Linked DNA regions of Saccharomyces cerevisiae S288C. The protein of the gene in region 2 binds, or shares a complex with, the protein of the main gene of each other region. Each region holds a gene or a part of one and is shown on either strand. Other genes may lie near its edges. The genes, in order: TIM18, TIM22 and TIM54. A codon is read from its position in the direction of its gene.

Region 1 (5,691 bases), on a different chromosome or scaffold from region 2:
TAAATATTTATGTTCAGAGGATAATCTGGATCCATCCGCTTGGAATGCTCAGGATCGCTATTTATGGGCTGCAAACCTTTTTCATACGACTGATCAGTCTATGAGGACAATAAATAACCTTTTAACTGCGATATTTTCAGGTACAAAGCCAAAATTTTCTCCAGTTTTGTCATTTTATTATTCAAACATTGTTGGGGATCCAGTAATGGAATTCTATGAAACGCAGTCCGTAGCTGTAAAGAAATACTGGATCAAATTATTTAAGAAGACTCTTTTTAAAGCATCAGAGGATTATTTTGTCTCCCTTCTGCAGGATATGCTAAAGGCTAACGCAATAGAAATTCAAAACGTTCAGAATCTCGTAGAAACAATTATAGAAGCCATAAAAGCGATTCAAAAACGTTACAATAAACCTTTATTGGACGAAATATCTCTGCCTAGACAATGCGCAGTATTTCTATGTGAAGTATACGGTTCGGATTCTTTAAATCTAATAAAAACCGCTGAAAAGAGTACCATGAAAATGACTGGACAAAAGTTGGGTCCAATAGATGCGCTAGATATGTATGATGTACTGAAAGAACTGAGACAGATTTACCTGCAGGTAAAGCCAAAAGGGAAATTTTTCTTTAACCTTGAAAATTATTTCATCAAATATTTGACTCGATTATGTGATGATGTGAGCCGTAATGTTCAAAAAGTTATTAAATCTTCACTAGAAAGCGAGAATTGGCAACCCGTAAATGACCAGGACCATTTCAGTAGATCAGTTTTGGACATATTCAAAATGATAAATGAATCAACTAGCATGTTGGAGAAATTTGGTTGGCAAAATGAATTTCAACTGGCACAAATGATCACGGTAATATTAAAGGCGTTTTCAGATGGTATGCTTTCATACTCAGCTCAACTAATGGAATTGATCCAGAGAGATTTACAGGAGGGTGATGAACCATCCTACTCTTTAGAAAGCTCAGACACTCGATCTTCACTTAGCCTGAATAACGCTAACGTAAATCATGAAAAATCAAGAAGTAGTAGGCTGTTTGAAGATTTGAAAAATGTAGTTAAATCAACTCCGAAGATGGTAGCTCCTGCTCCATATCAGTTCAAGAAGCGTACGTGCGTACTGCTAAATGATCTTGATAAAACACTTTTTCTGTTAGAGAGCTTCGAAGAAAAAGCAGATCCATCAAAAATATCCTCTGTTATTGCACAGTACCACTCCTCCCATAATTTAGAGGATAATGGGAAGTCATTCGATGACCAGAATATGAAGCAAGTTTATACCCTTCGAATTATCGGTGCTGAAAATATTAAAGGCTTCAGCAAAACGGGGCTTTCAAACACCTACGTTTCCATGAGAAACATCACTTTACAACGGGAAATAGGTACTACTAAGATTGTTGCAAGATCGATTACTCCCAAATGGGACGAAGAGTTTGTGTTTGAGTCTCCATTCGGAAAGTCGAACGATATTATGTTTACTATATGGCACCACCCACACAGCAGATTAAAGAATTTAGCGGAAGATGATCTATGTGGAAAAGCCAATATGAAATTCACTCCGAGAAAGCTCAAGGATGATGGGTTTCCTATCGATTTTTCGCTCACATTGAATCCGCAGGGAACTTTATATTGCCAAATATCCCTGGAAAGTGAGAAAATAGATGCCGTTTCTTCTATGGGAAGAATATATAGATCTTTTAGCAGGTCAAGAGATCGTGCAATAAACCTAATAGTCAACAAATTTTCTGATTTTATTGCATTTGCCTTCTCGAGAACCACATTAAAAACAGTGTGTGGTCACCATGGTTCTGCACTTGCGTCTGACGAAGCAGTATATGACGCAATTTTACCACTATTTGACTATTTAAACGCAAATTTGAACATTCTGGCATCAGAACTTTCACAGAGATTGTTGTTTATGGTAATGCTAAGAGCGTGGAACCTCGTTTTAGAGAACGCTGATTTACTTCTTCTACCTGCATTGAATAGCGCTAAAGTTAATATATTGCGTTCAGCAAAGAAATCTTTGTGGGAAAATACTCTTTCAACCACAAAAACGGTATCAGGATACGGTCGTCCTTTGACTCAAGCGGAAATCGAGGCTGTATTCAAATGGCTTGATGCGCTGTGTGTAGATTTTTTTCATAATAAAGGAGAAGGTCCCCCTCTTGCAGAATTGAAAAATGAGTATTACCAAAATATATTGCTGATCCCAGCTTTTTATGATAAAAGTGTCTCCGAATTGAAGGATGAAGTTCAGCGATTGATTCCCCTATATGAAGAGTATTTGAGATGGTTTTATCTGAAGAAAACTCCGATTACTTTTACGAATAAATCCGCTGGAACAATATCTCGAAAAAAGTCGCTAGTAGCTAACATTGTAAAAGAGCCTAAGGAACAACTGGAACGTGATGCAGAAGTAATGAATATTATATTGAGAATATTGATCGCGAAAGGCCAACATGATTACGTTCATCGAATTTTACATGACAGAAAAGAACTTGTTAATACTATGAAAAATAGAAGAGCGGTGAGTAGAGCGGTCACTCCTACAGGAAAAAAGGGCAGAAACTGAAGTCTCTTTTATATATATACATGGGGTGCTGACTAAACAGTTCCACCCTATATTTGAGCGTCGATAAAAAATGAATGAACGTGTATCATCGTTTATTATAAGAATCATAGTTTTATGGACAAGTTTTCCGTTTAGCATTTATACCCATATAGTAAAAAGTTTCGCAGATAGTGCGATAGTTGTATTCTGATTGCCTTATTATTATTTCACTAATTCTTTATTCACGTAGAGCATGACACTTTTTTTATGTGTTTCCTTTTGATTGTGAAATAAAGGCGAATCCTAACAAATATTAAAATGTTTCAATACATTGATAAAAATTGTAAACATTATTTTTTTGTAGTATAAAAATTCGTTCCTCATCATTAAAGAAACAAAAAGCATACAGATAATAATAAAAAAGGCACTTTAGACAGAATGAGAATACTAGCAATCACGAATTCCTACTTTTCCTTTCTGTATCCCTAGGCGTTTCACTCGACAAGAATTGATCGTCTTGTACCAATCCAAGCAGATCGATATATACATATATATCTGGATTTCGAGAAGAAGGATATATTTTATTGCTTATTTGTCTTTTTATAAAATCTCTCCTAAGTTAAGTTCATGGGGAATCTGACTCTAAAAATGAAATCTTAGAAATGCAAAAAAAAAGAAAAAGTATGGGTGAGTCAGTTTCTTCCAAATATATACAAATGGTCATCATTTTCATTCCAAAGTTTCTTTACCAGGTCAACAAAACCATTATTTTTCGTTTCCAATTCGTAGATACCGTACAGGGACAACATGGATCCTCCATAGAGGCAATAAAGGGCGAGCTTATGCCATCTTGGATACTTTTCCTTCGGTATATAGTCAATAATACAACTTGTGAAGCCATACTGTAAATATATCAAAAAAATGGACGATAAAGACGCATCGAGTAAAGGATTTATAACCCCGCCGGTAAAGGAGGCATAAAAAGGTACCATTGTTAATGGAATCAAAGTATATTTTGCTATTCTCTCATAGTCTTTTTGATAAGAGTCCTTAAATTGAGAGAACTCTGGGGGCTTAAACATCTGCACTGAAGAGGATGCCTCTTTTGACGTATTTGCAATATCGTTTATTTTATTTTCAGCATTTAAACGATTAATGCTATAAAAGGATCTTTTGGTTGAAAGTACTAATCCTGGAAAAACAGCTCGTACAGGATTTACAATGACAGTGGAAGCATTAAGAACAGGCTTCAAGCCAGGAAACAATAGCATTACCAAAGGTATTAAATTACTCAGTTGTTGCACCTCGCATCACCGTTAATTAATGTGTGCATTCCACTGTCTGGAAGTTTTCATTTTTATCCGATCTTTTGCGAGAATGGTTTGTTTTTCAAAAAAACCGAGTGTCAACAAGGCATGTAGCGACACAAAATGAAAAATTGAAAGTTAACAGGGCAAGATATGCACCATAATAGATTCATTGTTAATCTTAATCAAATAAAATTTCTCTTTTCCACACAGAAAACTAAACGAAAGGTATAACTTTAAGATGGGTTTTGTTGATTTCTTCGAAACATATATGGTCGGTTCTAGGGTCCAGTTCAAACAGTTAGATATTTCTGATTGGTTGAGTCTGACCCCAAGGTTGCTTATTCTTTTTGGCTATTTTTACCTTCATTCTTTTTTTACTGCAATCAATCAATTCCTACAGTTCATTAACACGAATTCCTTCTGTCTTAGACTGCATTTACTATATGACAGATTTTGGTCGCATGTGCCCATAATAGGTGAGTACAAAATTCGGCTGCTCTCGAGGGCACTGACATATAGTAAACTGAAAATAATACCAACTTTAGACAAGGTGCTGGAGGCGATTGAAATTTGGTTTCAGCTACATTTAGTTGAAATGACCTTCGAAAAAAAAAAAAACGTCCAAATTTTCATAACCGAGGGAAGTGATGACCTAAACTTTTTTAAAGATAGCAAATTCCAAACCACATTAATGATATGTAATCATCGATCAGTGAATGACTACACATTGATTAATTACCTTTTTCTCAAAAGTTGTCCCACCAAGTTTTATACTAAATGGGAATTTCTACAAAAGCTGAGGAAGGGGGAAGATCTAGCTGAATGGCCTCAGTTAAAATTTCTTGGTTGGGGAAAAATGTTTAACTTTCCTCGATTGGATCTACTAAAGAACATATTCTTCAAAGATGAAACACTCGCACTCTCATCGAATGAGTTAAGAGATATTTTAGAAAGACAAAACAATCAAGCTATTACTATTTTTCCCGAAGTCAATATCATGAGTTTGGAACTATCAATTATTCAAAGAAAATTACACCAAGATTTTCCCTTTGTTATAAACTTCTATAATTTATTATACCCAAGATTTAAAAACTTTACCACTTTGATGGCTGCTTTTTCATCAATTAAAAACATCAAAAGAAAGAAAAACCGTAACAATATAATCAAAGAGGCCCGATACCTGTTTCACAGAGAACTTGACAAATTAGTTCACAAGAGCATGAAAATGGAGTCTTCCAAGGTATCCGATAAGACGACGCCGCCCATGATCGTAGATAATTCATACTTACTTACAAAAAAGGAAGAAATCAGCAGCGGCAAGCCCAAGGTGGTACGAATCAATCCATACATATATGATGTCACCATAATTTATTACCGAGTCAAATATACTGATAGTGGGCATGATCATACCAACGGAGATTTGAGACTTCATAAAGGTTATCAATTAGAGCAAATATCTCCGACAATCTTTGAGATGATTCAACCAGAAATGGAGTCTGAAAACAACATAAAGGATAAGGACCCCATTGTTGTGATGGTAAATGTAAAAAAGCATCAAATTCAACCATTACTCGCATACAATGATGAGAGTTTAGAAAAGTGGCTTGAAAATAGGTGGATAGAAAAAGATAGATTAATCGAGTCCTTGCAAAAAAATATTAAAATTGAGACCAAATAAAGATCCTGAATCATAATATATACGTGTGTACTTCACTTTCTATAGAGGAAAAAAAGCTAAAAAAAAAAAAAAATGATAAAATAAACGAAAAAAACCATAAAACGATCATGATAGAATAATGTACATTATTAAGAATGCTT
Region 2 (5,879 bases):
AGTGACCAATAAGATTGACCTTATAGATATATACGAGAAGAAAATAAAAAGCAAACATTATTTGCAATCTTTCTTTCGCAAGATAAAGTACCAAAATCTTTCCATGTTATGTTCTCAGTGAAGTTGAGTAGAGCGGAGAGGAGCCCTCCCCAAAAAAATGAATACAAAATATCTGTGATGGATTTTTGAATTCACGCTTCCTTCAATAACCTTCGCCAAGAAAGTCTAGAATTGTTTTATATTCTTTACATAAAAGTAAGTAAATCAACTTTAAAAAACTTTAAGGGCGAAAATGAAAAAAAAAAAATGTAAAAGTGAAAAAAGGGACGGCGAAGCGATGCCCTGCCAGTCTTACTAATCCAGAGGGCTAAAAGCATGTTTACAGTGTATTTCCAGTCATAGGAGAGTATTGACCTGGCATGGAAAAAGAAACGCACAATGAGAAAGGGGATATATACCCTTAAATTGACGATAGTTAAGGAGATTTTGAGGTTTGTGTTACTAATAAACCAGTAAGCATACTCGTTGATGACTTTAACGTATATTTGGTTTCCAAGGGATATTGAAACCGTATCTTAAGGGATGACGATGGTTGGTTAACATTCCCTAAAAGACAACGTATAAAAAGGTTCAACAAAGCGTCCGTTACCATTATGCTTTGATGTTCTCAGTACGAAAGTTTACGGTTTTTTTTTTCAATTGAGGAACATAAACCAAATAGATATATTATATCAACGTTATGAAACGAGTTACTGGAGTTTTCTTAACACTTTTGAGATTTTCTCAATTTGCATCATCGGTTTTGGTGATGTCACTTTTGGCGTATGCCATCCACGCCTATGGAAATAGAGGTAATAAGAAAACCAACTTCACATTGGCAACAGGTGTCATTAGTGTGTTTTATCTGATTGCCTTAGGTATTTTGTGTCTGGCCCTACCCACATTGATCTACATAGGAATGTACTTCTGTGCCGAATTGATCGTTTGTATGCTATGGCTAGCAGCTTTCGTTGTTCTTGCCAAAGCTCAAGGTGAACGTAGCTGTAGCAACACTAATGCAGACGGATTATACTATAATCCGTACAGTGGCCAATATACTGCTGACAGTCATAGAAGAGCATGTAATTCTTCTCAGGCGGCAATCGCCTTTTCTGGCCTTTGCTTTGTACTGTTTTTGATCAGTGTGATATTACTGGGAATTAATGTCTTAACACCTATCAGGAAGCGTTATCAAACCCAAGGAATGTGGAGAAGCGGCGCTTCTATGGGTACAAAGCTCCATAGGTGGAGCGGACTAGCTTTAAGCGAGCCTTTTGAAGAAACAGCTGCTTACGATAACACCAATGTTAGGACCGGTGATGTCGAAGCAGGTGCAGGTGATAATGCTGCTTACACATCTGAACCGAATGGCGACGCACGCTATGCAACTAATGACCCCAATGGGCAGTACCATACTACCACCACCAACACACGTTACACCACAACAACAGCGGACCCTAAGACGCGTTACACCACCAACGATCGTAATCCTGGTTCTGCGAATGTCGCTAACAGTGCAGTGGACCAGCACGCTTACTCTACGGATGAGTCAGGTGATCGGTCTTATCAAGAAAAGGTCACAGAAGGAGCTCACTCTGGCGCTATGAGTGGTAGCACTGCAGAACCAAACAGGAACGTCAATCAAATGCCATAAATTCAATGATTTCCTTTTTGTTCGTCTATACCCTTCACATACTTTTTCTTTTTCTTTTTCTTTTCTTTGCTTAACGATTTGAATTGCTCCTGTTCTAATAATGGCGTCGTCTTTTAGAAAATCCTTATCAGGTGTGAATAATGCTTAATTTTTTTTATATATAATGATTTACTTTTATTACTTCTTATTTTTATATTTTCCTCTGTCAAATATGTGACTGAAATCTTCCAATTTATTAATATTAAAGTGTGACTATCACTTGAGTTTAGCGACAGTCTCTAACGCCTCGAATTCATCGACATGGGAAAATTGGAAAGGGTATCGTTTTTACACTTCCCATTTTCTTCCAGCAAAAATGATCGGCCCAGAGTCTAGTTAAAGCATGATTAATTCTCCCAGGGAATTTTTTTGCTTTACTAGTAACAGTAGTTCTGGAAATTATTAAGCGTTCTTAAATTCTGGGACGGTCGTGCAGAATATTAAGATAGGTGATATTTACAAATATAAAACATTCATCGTTCGTCGAAATTGGCTATTCATTCTTTAAAATCGTTTTGAGGTGGTCTACCATCCTCACTTTTCATATACAAATCAATTGCAGCTGAAAAGGCAGCAAACCCGGCACCACCCATTAAGGCAGCTTGTGGTCCAGCTTTGTATGCCAGCCCAGCACCGGTAAAAAACCCTGCGGTTACTCCGTTGTAAATATCATTTTTAGCTCTAAGTGACTCTATGACACACTCCACCCCAGCATATATCATACCAATGTAGCCAAAATTCTTAGCACTAGAGTAGGATTTTTTACCCATATCGGTAAATTGAAGTTTCATTTGCTGCCGGAAAGGTAAATCAGATATTTGCTGAACTGTTCTTGATATTCCACCCACACCTATATTTCCCGCAGTTGCAGTTGCTGCTGTATTTGCAGGTGTAGGTGTATGAAGAGGTGTATCATATGCCATTGACGCCATGAACAGGCCTAAAACACCACCCAGTGCAAACCCTGTTACACCACTCACAACTGATTTTCCAGGACAGGAAGTCATGAAGTTCATGATCATTTCAGCACCCCGTTCACCCTGTTCTTCCGGAGTTAGTTCATTATAAGGTTTCTTTTGAGCTGGACTTATCTGCTCCAAACCAAATCCTGTGTACACCATCTTCGTATAAAGTATTTAAAATCACAATTTCTTGATCTTATTTGGCAGCTATCTCTACTATCCCGTTTAGTACTATCCCGTTTAGTAGTGACAGAAAAATAGTATTTTGTCCTGAAAAGCTTCGGATTTTATATGTACGAAATGGATCCGAGGAAATGCTGTCTGTTTTATTAGAGAATTAAGTTGACTGATGCATCGTCTTTCTCTTCAGTTGTAAGCTCGATGCCATTTTATCAGTAAGACCAAAAACCAACACATAACGGCGTACGAAAATATCAAATTGTCACCCGGTATAGATATACTTATAGAGATTCAAGAAGGAATAACTATTAAAAGTACGTTGCAGATAAACATAAGCTATTGCAGCGTCATTGGAGCAACGTTAGGAATTCATAATGTAAAGGTGTCCTTGTAAAAACGTAACCGCTCATATTGTTTTATCTTTGACGCAAGTATTCGATTTTTTGCTCTTGCATAATCTGTCTCCAAGACATTTCTCTGTAACATATCATTGCCCTCATCATGACATCTTTCCTGATTGCTGTTCATGCGTTTTTTAGAATTGTGAAAATTGTCGGTAGACCTGCTGCTTCTTTCCACGCGATTTACATGAATGCTCGGTTCGCCGTTTATGCACAGACTAGTGTCAGTACTGTCGAACTCGGTAAGGTTTCTATCTTCCATATCTACGTCACTAGTATTATCACCTGAAAACATGCTTCCAAAGGAGCTTGTTTCAGTGCTATCCCCCCTTTGCGTATTGAGGCAGAACTGAGACCTTGTTGAACGGTTTTGATAGTCAATGTTTTTTTTATTTTCGTTGCTAACACGTTCACTGGTAGTAGCCAACTTAATCCTTGTTCTAACATTTTTGGAATCCATCAAATAGCTATACTGCTTCATTGAATCGATCAATCTATTTAATGATATTTGTTCTGACTCATCATCCTCTATTACGCAATGTAAGTTTAACTTTGTTTCAAATAGCGCTCGGTTCAATTCTGAATCAAATATGATTGTTTCTAGTTCATAGTATGAAGTGGCACTATTATCATCACTTTTACTTTCTATTGTCCTAAATGCACCCATTCTTAAAATTTTATCTTCCAGACTTTTCAAGGGATCGACCACAATTGCGACATATGGATCTTGGAATCTCTGGTTCAAATCCTGGGTTTGGATATCTATATTACTTAACCAACAGTCGTAACCAGGATGTGAATGGAACCAGCCAACAACATTCAGTTTAGCGCCCTTGTAATCTCGCCCATCACCACCGTCATTATGATTATACATCTCGTCGATATATTGAACCATATATTCGTATGACTCCAATTGTGCATTTACGCGAGTTTCTGTCCCTACTACGGGAAGATTGAAACAATCCATTACAACAATATTATCTTTTAATGTGAACCCCATTAATATGCCCATGATTTCAATATTTCCTCCACGAACTGCATAATGGGTGATCTTTTCACATGATAATTTTGATATAAGTACGTGGGTGTAACTCGGAATATCTGTACTACTTTGTTGTTTTAGTTTAGTTTTGAGCAAGGAAGATTGGCTTAGCGCATGAAATTCAGGTTCTTGCGACGGCTTGAATCGCATACTTGATAGCGCTATAGATTCAGTTAGTTCATCTTCCACGGTGTACCTTTCCTTTAGTAGTTGTCGTAATTCCTTTACAGTCTTATTTGAAAGTGACATGCTGCCTCCTGCAGTTTTTATTGATTTTCGATCGTTGTTATTCATTTTTAGTTTATTTGAAAAACCCTTTAATAAGAGCGCTTCCTGCGTAGCGCGCCTTTCCTAAAGTTTCAGCTGAAGCATGGCTCCCTGAGGAGAACTGCCTAGTATAATGGATAACTCGAAGGAAAAAATATCAAATGCTTTTTTTAGATTAAAAATAATGGACATATAAACAACTTTACTTAGTACACAATAAAACGCTGAGAAGAACATACACATATGTTTAATTTTCTTTTCTGACGGCAGAACTAATTTATACAAAACAATTTTATTGAAGCTCAAGCACTTGCCTCCGCTTCTCTTTTTAACCCACCAATAAATTCCAAGAATTTTCCAATGTTAACATCGATACCGTTCTGGTAAACAAAAGTGCTTGATAAGTAACTCGACAGAAGAACTTTCAAATAGCTCTCTGGAATGTTTTCCAATACGGACTGAGGCCCAGCAACATCAATCAGAATTTTTGGAATTATTTTATCCAACAATAGGTAGTTTCTTAATTTTAGATCATTGAGCCACAACTCTTGAGAAGCAACTAGATCGTCGTTCAATTTGTTTATAGTGAAGGACAATTGGTTTGAAATTTCTGAAATGTGGGTTCCATTTAGTTGATTCAAATTCCATAACTGACCAAACTCTAATTCAGCATTTTTCTGAATTCTTGACTGCACTTCTACAACGTACGACTTGTACAACGCAGACCTCTCACCACTAACATCTCCAATAAATTTGTGCACGAAGTCGTTATCGTTAAGCGCTAGTGAGGCCAACACTTCCATTGATGAAGATGTGACACCACCTTTGTTTGCAGAAGCATCTTTGAACAGAATACAGCCATGTTCCTCCAAAGCATTTTTAGCAGGTTGCGTTATAAATAGATTGGCACCCTCCACAATATATGGAATTTTACATTTCCCAGTCTTTTCGTCAACAAAATAATGTAGATTATTTAGAGTAATTGAGTTTGGTCTACCACCGCATGGAACAAAAATGTCGACATGATCCACAAATTTGAAAATTTGAGTATGAAAGGTGTTTCTGAAGGTTGTGCCGTTAGCTACAATTGTACCATTTGGTAGCATGATATCCATTGCATCCACAGAAACAAAAAATCCGTTGTTTGATAATTTGGAAGTGTCGAAATCGGAAATCATTTTCCTTTCATGTGCCAAGCGGCATAATTCATCTTTATCTAAACCTTTAGGATCACACAGGACACCTGAACCGTCCAGAATTGCCAAATAACATTCGTTTGGCGAAGATAAAAGAAT
Region 3 (6,355 bases), on a different chromosome or scaffold from region 2:
TAGTGCAAAAACACCTAATTCAGTATTACCAATTGTGTGTACAACTTTGTAAACAGAACCTCTTGCACCATTTCCCAGCAAAGACAATATTTTGAAAAATTTACGAAAGTATCCGGGGATAAACAAATCATCTGGAATAAAGTATTTGTTTTTGCTGAACTGTCCCTGCTTATTGTTACTATCGTTTTGTAGGGCGTAGTGCCGATGATTTCTTTCCAATGACTGAAAATATCTTCTTGAAAAGCTTGAATTGGCAAATTCAAATCCAAGTGGCACAGTGTTCTCTGGAATACTGAGCCTACTGCTTTCTGATTCTACTCCAGCAGAGGCTCGACGATGAAGTTGTCTTCTGTTTATAATATCAGGGTTAATTTCCGTACCACATTGCGGGCACACATAGGAAGCAATAGGGCTTTTGTATTGATGAATCCCTGAAGGAAAGTCCAGTGCTGATAAAGATGCAGTCTGGTCTTCATTTAGTTCAGAGTCATTATTACTGTTGTCCTGTTGGAAAAATGATAAAGTTCCTGAGGTTGGATTAACAACCACCACTGATTTAGAATTAGGATCATCTAAAATCAGCGAACCTTCTTCATATGGTACTAAACTCATTTCTAAGTTCTACTTATGCTATCCCTCAAACTATATATCTAATAGTGTTTCTTCGGTTACCTAGTTGTCACTCATAGGATCTATATATACAATGTCCTTCCCCCCCACCCCCTTTTCTGAAACGTATACAAAAAATAAAGCTTGAAATACGTTATTACGTAAAAAAAGTGTACTGTAAAAGCTTACAAAAAAGAGTTTGCGAAAAATTATAAATAAAAAGTAGTCTAGGTAAAATATGAAATGTTTCTAATTATGCATTTATGTGATCCTGAAAACCGCCCTTCTTACGTTGGACCATGATGATCACATTTATAAATATGGTTTTCTTTCCAATGCGCATTTCACTTTCTGTGAGTTCAATTTTCCCAAATCGTCAAAGCTTTTGGAACAGTCAGAGCACTTGTATTTTTTCTGATGGGTCTTAATATGTTTGCTCAAATTTGACGATTCGTTGAATCTCTTACCACAAATCTTGCATTGTAAAGGTTTTTCACCAGTATGGGTTCTTATATGAATCTTCAAAGAACTTGAAATCGCGAATTTTTTATTACAAATGTGACATTTGTAAGGTTTTTCGCCAGAGTGTGTCCTGGTATGCTGAACTAAAGTTTCTTCGCTTGAAAAACACCTTTTACATGTCTTGCACTTATAAGGTTTGTATTTCGAATGCACTTTTAAATGACGGATTAATTTTTGTCTTTGGGGGAACGTACGATGGCAGTCATGCCACAAGCATTGGTATTCAGACTTACCCCGGGTTAAATGTACTGCTTCTAAATGGTCGTTTAATTCCTGAGCACTGGAAAATGACTTATTGCAACCATCCCATTGGCAAATCACCTGTTCCGGCTGCTTGATTGGCGGTATATTGGAAACATCATTTGCAGACGTCATATCAGGTGCTCCATCTGCTTTAGAAACTTCGTGTGTTTGTGGGTTGGGGCAATGTAGTAAGTGATGTTTTTCCTTTGATATACTACCAGGCAAAAATGAGTCTGGGTTGGCAAATTGAATATCAAAATTGATACCATGTTGACAATTAATATGGTTCACTATGGAACATGTATCATCTCCAAGGAAATCACAGTCCTCCCAATTACAAGCTAATGGTTCCATAGGGTGTTTGAAATCTTGAGAGACATGATCCTTCAAAAGATGTCTTTGTAGGTCAAATAGTGAGCTACAAGACTCAGGACATTCTTTCCATTTGCATTTTAAGTCATTGTTTTTCTCTTCTTTAAAACACCAGTTGAAATTTATAGTGCTTGTTGTCTGTATAGGAGGAGAGATGCTAGAAGGTAATGAGTCTTCCAAAGAGCTGAAATCAGTAGATTCTAGATCTTTTGTAGGCCAAGATCTACGATTTTTCTGATTCTGATGAGTGACTTTGGGTAGCGAAGGGGGCTCACTTTGATTTCTAAATCTTTCATAACTATACTCTCTTGAAATTAAGTCATTTAAATCGTTGTTAGTTAGATCGGCTGTTGTGTTCGCCGCGCTAATCCCTGAATTGTTCACAATATTGTTTCTATTTGGTTTGTGAGAATGAAACTGTATTCTATGGTGATGGTGTTGATGATCAGTTGAAGTTGCTCCAGCCGTATTGTTATTGCTTCCATTAAGATTATTTTTAGGGTTGCATCTATTAATGCTTGATAATAGAAGATTCATTGTTTGGTTACCGTTTTCATTATTTCCTGTGCTCGAACCATCGCAGCCGTTACCGGCATTATTGTGGTCGTGGTGGTTAATGTGTTTTCCAAACGGTACTTCATACAAAGAAGAAATATTGCATAAATCTTCCAAAATCTTCAAATCCATATCAGTATTTAAGATATGTTCGTGATAAGCATGATTTGTACCTTGCAAAGTGTTTGTAGGTTTTCGTAAAGATGAACATTTGGGTGGTAGTTGAGGTGGCTTTGACTCTAAATGCATATGCTTAGAACAAGGTTGATTATCAGTGCTCTCCTCACAAAATTTGCAGTATTTATGGAAAACGTCATCATTATTTGATGATTGATGATCTTGAACAAACTTGTGACCACTAGTCGCGCTCGTGCTAGCCGTGCATGGGGTGTCACAGGTCAAATCGCAATCAATCTCCGATAAGTGAGACATCAGCTGAGAAAAGCTATCTGGTACAGTATTATTGTGATTGTGAGAGTCGTGATTGGTACTATTACAGTACTGATCATGAAGGTTAAAATTTGGCATCAAGTGATCGTTCTTTACATCTGTGAATATTGCAACATCATTGCCGTTCTCAGATATGTCTTTCTTTGTCGGTTGATCAGATTCACCTTGTTTTATATTAGCCTCACTTTTGGGATGAGTTTCGTCACAACATATTTCCAAAATCTTGGGCGTACAATAACAATCATCGGATCCAGGTGGTGGGTTCGGTTTATTTTTCTTGGAAGAGGGCAGCAGTATCAGATCGTCGTTAAACCAAGAATCTTTTCTACGTGGTAGGTCGCTTTTAGAATTCTGTTGGGGACTTGTCGGATCAGAAGCTACCGAATGGAAATTGTTTGCAAAAGAATGATTATTAGAATTATACGTTGCAGTATCATTATATTTTGTTAATGACGGATTATTGTGATAATTCAAGAACTCGAAATGTTGGCAGTCGGTGTACTCCTTGCATTTCTCATTGACGTGGCAATCACCACCCATATCATGGCTAGCTCCAGATGCAAATGCGGAAGTAGCGGCATCAGCAACAGCTGCGGCTGCAGGTGTTGCCGAAGCACTACTGTCGTTCACAGGCGCGCTGTGGTGAAGGTGACCATGGATATAGGTCAGGTTGTTGTAGTTATGGATGTGCCCGTGGACAATGCCTTCTTTACCTATCGTCAGAGCATCAGGCTTGGCAGAAGCAGCAGTGGCCGCACTCGTGGCCATCGAGTCATCGCGCTTGGGGGAGTCCCTGGGAGTCAACGCATCCATTAGTTCCTATCCTTCTTCTATTTAAAAAACCGTAACACATAAAAAGTAAAAGTGTAATGCTTCCGTCTCGCCGCTGGCCTATATTCACAGTGACTGCAGTTGCATCTTATATTGCCAAGCACGTTTCATCATGACCTTTAGGGTAGATGACTGCTGTCAACTACTCCGTCTGCAGTGATATATAATCATGTTTTGGGCGTTTAAGGAAGGAGAATTATTTCCAACAGTTGAATAGGAAGATCCCTAGAGTAAATCGCAGGCAATCCAGTACTAAGAAACGGCGATGACAATGGAAAAAAATGGAGGTAATAGCAGCCGTGGTGGCCAAGTAGGCGGCAAGTCTGTGTGTGTTTACTGCGGGTCTTCATTTGGCGCTAAGGCGCTATACTCAGAAAGTGCAGAAGAATTAGGAGCCCTTTTCCATAAGCTGGGATGGAAATTGGTATACGGTGGAGGCACTACTGGTTTGATGGGCAAGATAGCAAGGTCTACGATGGGACCTGATTTAAGCGGACAGGTTCACGGTATCATTCCAAATGCACTTGTGTCTAAGGAAAGGACAGACGAGGATAAAGAAGATGTTAATAAAGCATTGTTGGAGTCTGTAGAAAATCATAAGGGCGCCACTCCTATTTCTGAAGAGTATGGGGAAACAACGATTGTACCAGATATGCATACGAGAAAAAGAATGATGGCAAATTTGAGTGACGCGTTTGTTGCTATGCCTGGTGGATACGGGACTTTTGAAGAAATCATGGAATGTATCACGTGGTCGCAACTGGGGATTCATAATAAACCAATTATCTTGTTCAATATCGATGGGTTCTATGACAAATTATTGGAGTTCCTCAAACACTCTATTCAAGAACGGTTCATCAGTGTGAAGAATGGTGAAATCATTCAAGTTGCCTCCACTCCGCAGGAAGTTGTTGATAAAATAGAGAAGTACGTCGTTCCAGAGGGCCGTTTCAATTTGAATTGGAGCGACGAAGGTCACGCTCACGAGGATTGTGCTAAATAATAGAAACGTAAGTCATGTATCTAGTTTAAACGATCTGTATAGATAATGTGGTGAAAAATCCAAATTTTTAGGAGCTGTCTTTCTAAGCCCGAAGGCTGGAAAAAATAGTACTGATGGCAAAGACATCATAGCTTTAAAGTCCATTGTTCTCAAAAGAAGCTCAATAGACCATGTCTTCTGAATCAGGAAAGCCTATTGCTAAGCCTATTAGGAAGCCTGGCTATACCAATCCGGCTTTAAAAGCCCTTGGTATACCCGCCTTGAGGCTGCCTTCTCGAAACTGGATGATCTTTTGGTCTGTGTTAACAGTATCCATCGGTGGCATAGCCTATGACAAATACAAGCAACGTCAGATTCTGAGCCATGCAACAGACTTGGTGAAGCCTTTGGCAGAGGAGTCCATGGAGGTAGACAAAGTGCCACGAAAGATCACTGTTTTTATTGCACCTCCTCCAAATGATTATCTGGAGAGTTCGTTGAAAGTTTGGAGACGATATGTTAAGCCTGTACTGTATTATGCAGGGTTGGACTATGAATTAGTTCAAGAGGATAGGCAAGGGATTATTAGAACTAATGTAGCCAACAGAATCAGAGAATTGAGAAAGGAAATATTGGCATCGACGGATGGGCAGCCAGTTAAAGAGCCTAACCAAACGGTAGCAAAACCAAGTGGTTCTTCAACCAGTAAAATTTCATCACTACTACCGTTCAATAAAATCATTCAAGATCCTGCTGAAGAAGATGACTCGTTTGATCCAGAAATCGGTAAAAAGTTCAAGGAGAACTTCGACTGGAGAAACGTTATAGGTATCTTCTATACAATGCCAAAACCGAAGCATATAATAAGTGAAGACGCCCTGACAAAGGACCCTATATTATCTGGTGGTGTTATTTGTTTAGGTAGAGGCGCCTATAAGGAGTACATTGCCGGTATTCACGAAGGCTTGCTTGGACCCATCGAGAAGACCGAAAAAACAGGATCCACTGAGCCTAAGATGACTGGGGTTGTAGAAGCAAATCAAATAGAATCAAAGGTAAGTGAATCCGGTGCTACGGAACTGGTGGATGCCGAGAAAGAGACTGCTTTGGAAGAGGCCAAAGTACAAGATGATCTAAAGGTTGATGAAGAAAACAGCTCAGAGGATTCGCAAAAATTTTTGAAGCCATTTATTTCTTCAGACCAATACCCTGACCTGCAAATCGCTTCGGAATTACAAACTCCAAATGGCGAATTCATAAGAAACCCCAATACAAATATCCCGCTTCTGATTAATCAGCCGTTATTGGTCATTCCAATACCTAACTTGATAGGTTTTACTACCATTCCAAGGAGAATACATCGTTTTTACCAGAAGCGTTTCTACGTAGAGGACGTGTGTTCAAGTGTAGTTAACTGTGTTCGACAAACCCGTATAAGACCGTTTGATATTGCAAAGGATATTGATTTGGCGAAGGACGAAGAAAAAGATTGGCCACAGAACTGGGTCAAACAGGGTAAAGAAAAGAACAGCGAATGGACCCAAGAATTAGTATGTGATCCTAGAATCACGAAGCATATGTTTGTTTACGAAAAACCACCCAAGGAAGAGCCAGAATCAGATATTTAATTGGATATATATTATGTTTTATCATCATGCACGATCGACGTTATGTCTGACATATACCAAACCCTTTTCGAAGATTTCCCTTTACTCATGTTGAAATAGTTTTTATATATGCACACATATACATATATATAAAATCTGTAAATATAATAAAATGTGTACATTG

The links.
Region 1: the proteins of TIM22 (region 2) and TIM18 are in contact, whole or in part, in a cryo-EM structure (PDB 6LO8), measured with the Saccharomyces cerevisiae proteins. Residues at the interface, in NP_010064.1 of Saccharomyces cerevisiae: Ser145 (codon at 2,421), Leu146 (codon at 2,418), Arg147 (codon at 2,415), Tyr168 (codon at 2,352), Lys169 (codon at 2,349), Ala170 (codon at 2,346), Gly171 (codon at 2,343), Pro172 (codon at 2,340), Ala175 (codon at 2,331); in NP_014940.4 of Saccharomyces cerevisiae: Ser76 (codon at 3,609), Tyr77 (codon at 3,606), Asp80 (codon at 3,597), Tyr81 (codon at 3,594), Ile84 (codon at 3,585), Leu109 (codon at 3,510), Tyr124 (codon at 3,465), Tyr162 (codon at 3,351), Glu165 (codon at 3,342), Thr166 (codon at 3,339).
Region 3: TIM22 (region 2) and TIM54 share a complex: the UniProt entries of both Saccharomyces cerevisiae proteins name them as parts of the TIM22 complex.

The regions. Positions count from the first base shown.
Region 1 is NC_001147.6:871,488-877,178, forward strand, and holds TIM18 (Tim18p), read right to left. Parts: upstream 3,835-5,691; coding exon 3,256-3,834; downstream 1-3,255. Other genes in the region: YOR296W (uncharacterized protein), read left to right, coding at 1-2,584; MUM3 (Mum3p), read left to right, coding at 4,112-5,551. UniProt on the Saccharomyces cerevisiae protein: Component of the TIM22 complex, a complex that mediates the import and insertion of multi-pass transmembrane proteins into the mitochondrial inner membrane.
Region 2 is NC_001136.10:65,754-71,632, forward strand, and holds TIM22 (translocation channel protein TIM22), read right to left. Parts: upstream 2,854-5,879; coding exon 2,230-2,853; downstream 1-2,229. Other genes in the region: DTD1 (D-tyrosyl-tRNA(Tyr) deacylase), read left to right, coding at 1-12; YDL218W (uncharacterized protein), read left to right, coding at 740-1,693; COP9 signalosome catalytic subunit RRI1, read right to left, coding at 3,244-4,566; GDH2 (glutamate dehydrogenase (NAD(+))), read right to left, coding at 4,887-5,879. UniProt on the Saccharomyces cerevisiae protein: Essential core component of the TIM22 complex, a complex that mediates the import and insertion of multi-pass transmembrane proteins, such as mitochondrial carrier family members, into the mitochondrial inner membrane.
Region 3 is NC_001142.9:329,510-335,864, forward strand, and holds TIM54 (Tim22-complex subunit TIM54), read left to right. Parts: upstream 1-4,755; coding exon 4,756-6,192; downstream 6,193-6,355. Other genes in the region: protein kinase IKS1, read right to left, coding at 1-612; ZAP1 (Zap1p), read right to left, coding at 922-3,564; LOG1 (Log1p), read left to right, coding at 3,848-4,585. UniProt on the Saccharomyces cerevisiae protein: Essential component of the TIM22 complex, a complex that mediates the import and insertion of multi-pass transmembrane proteins into the mitochondrial inner membrane.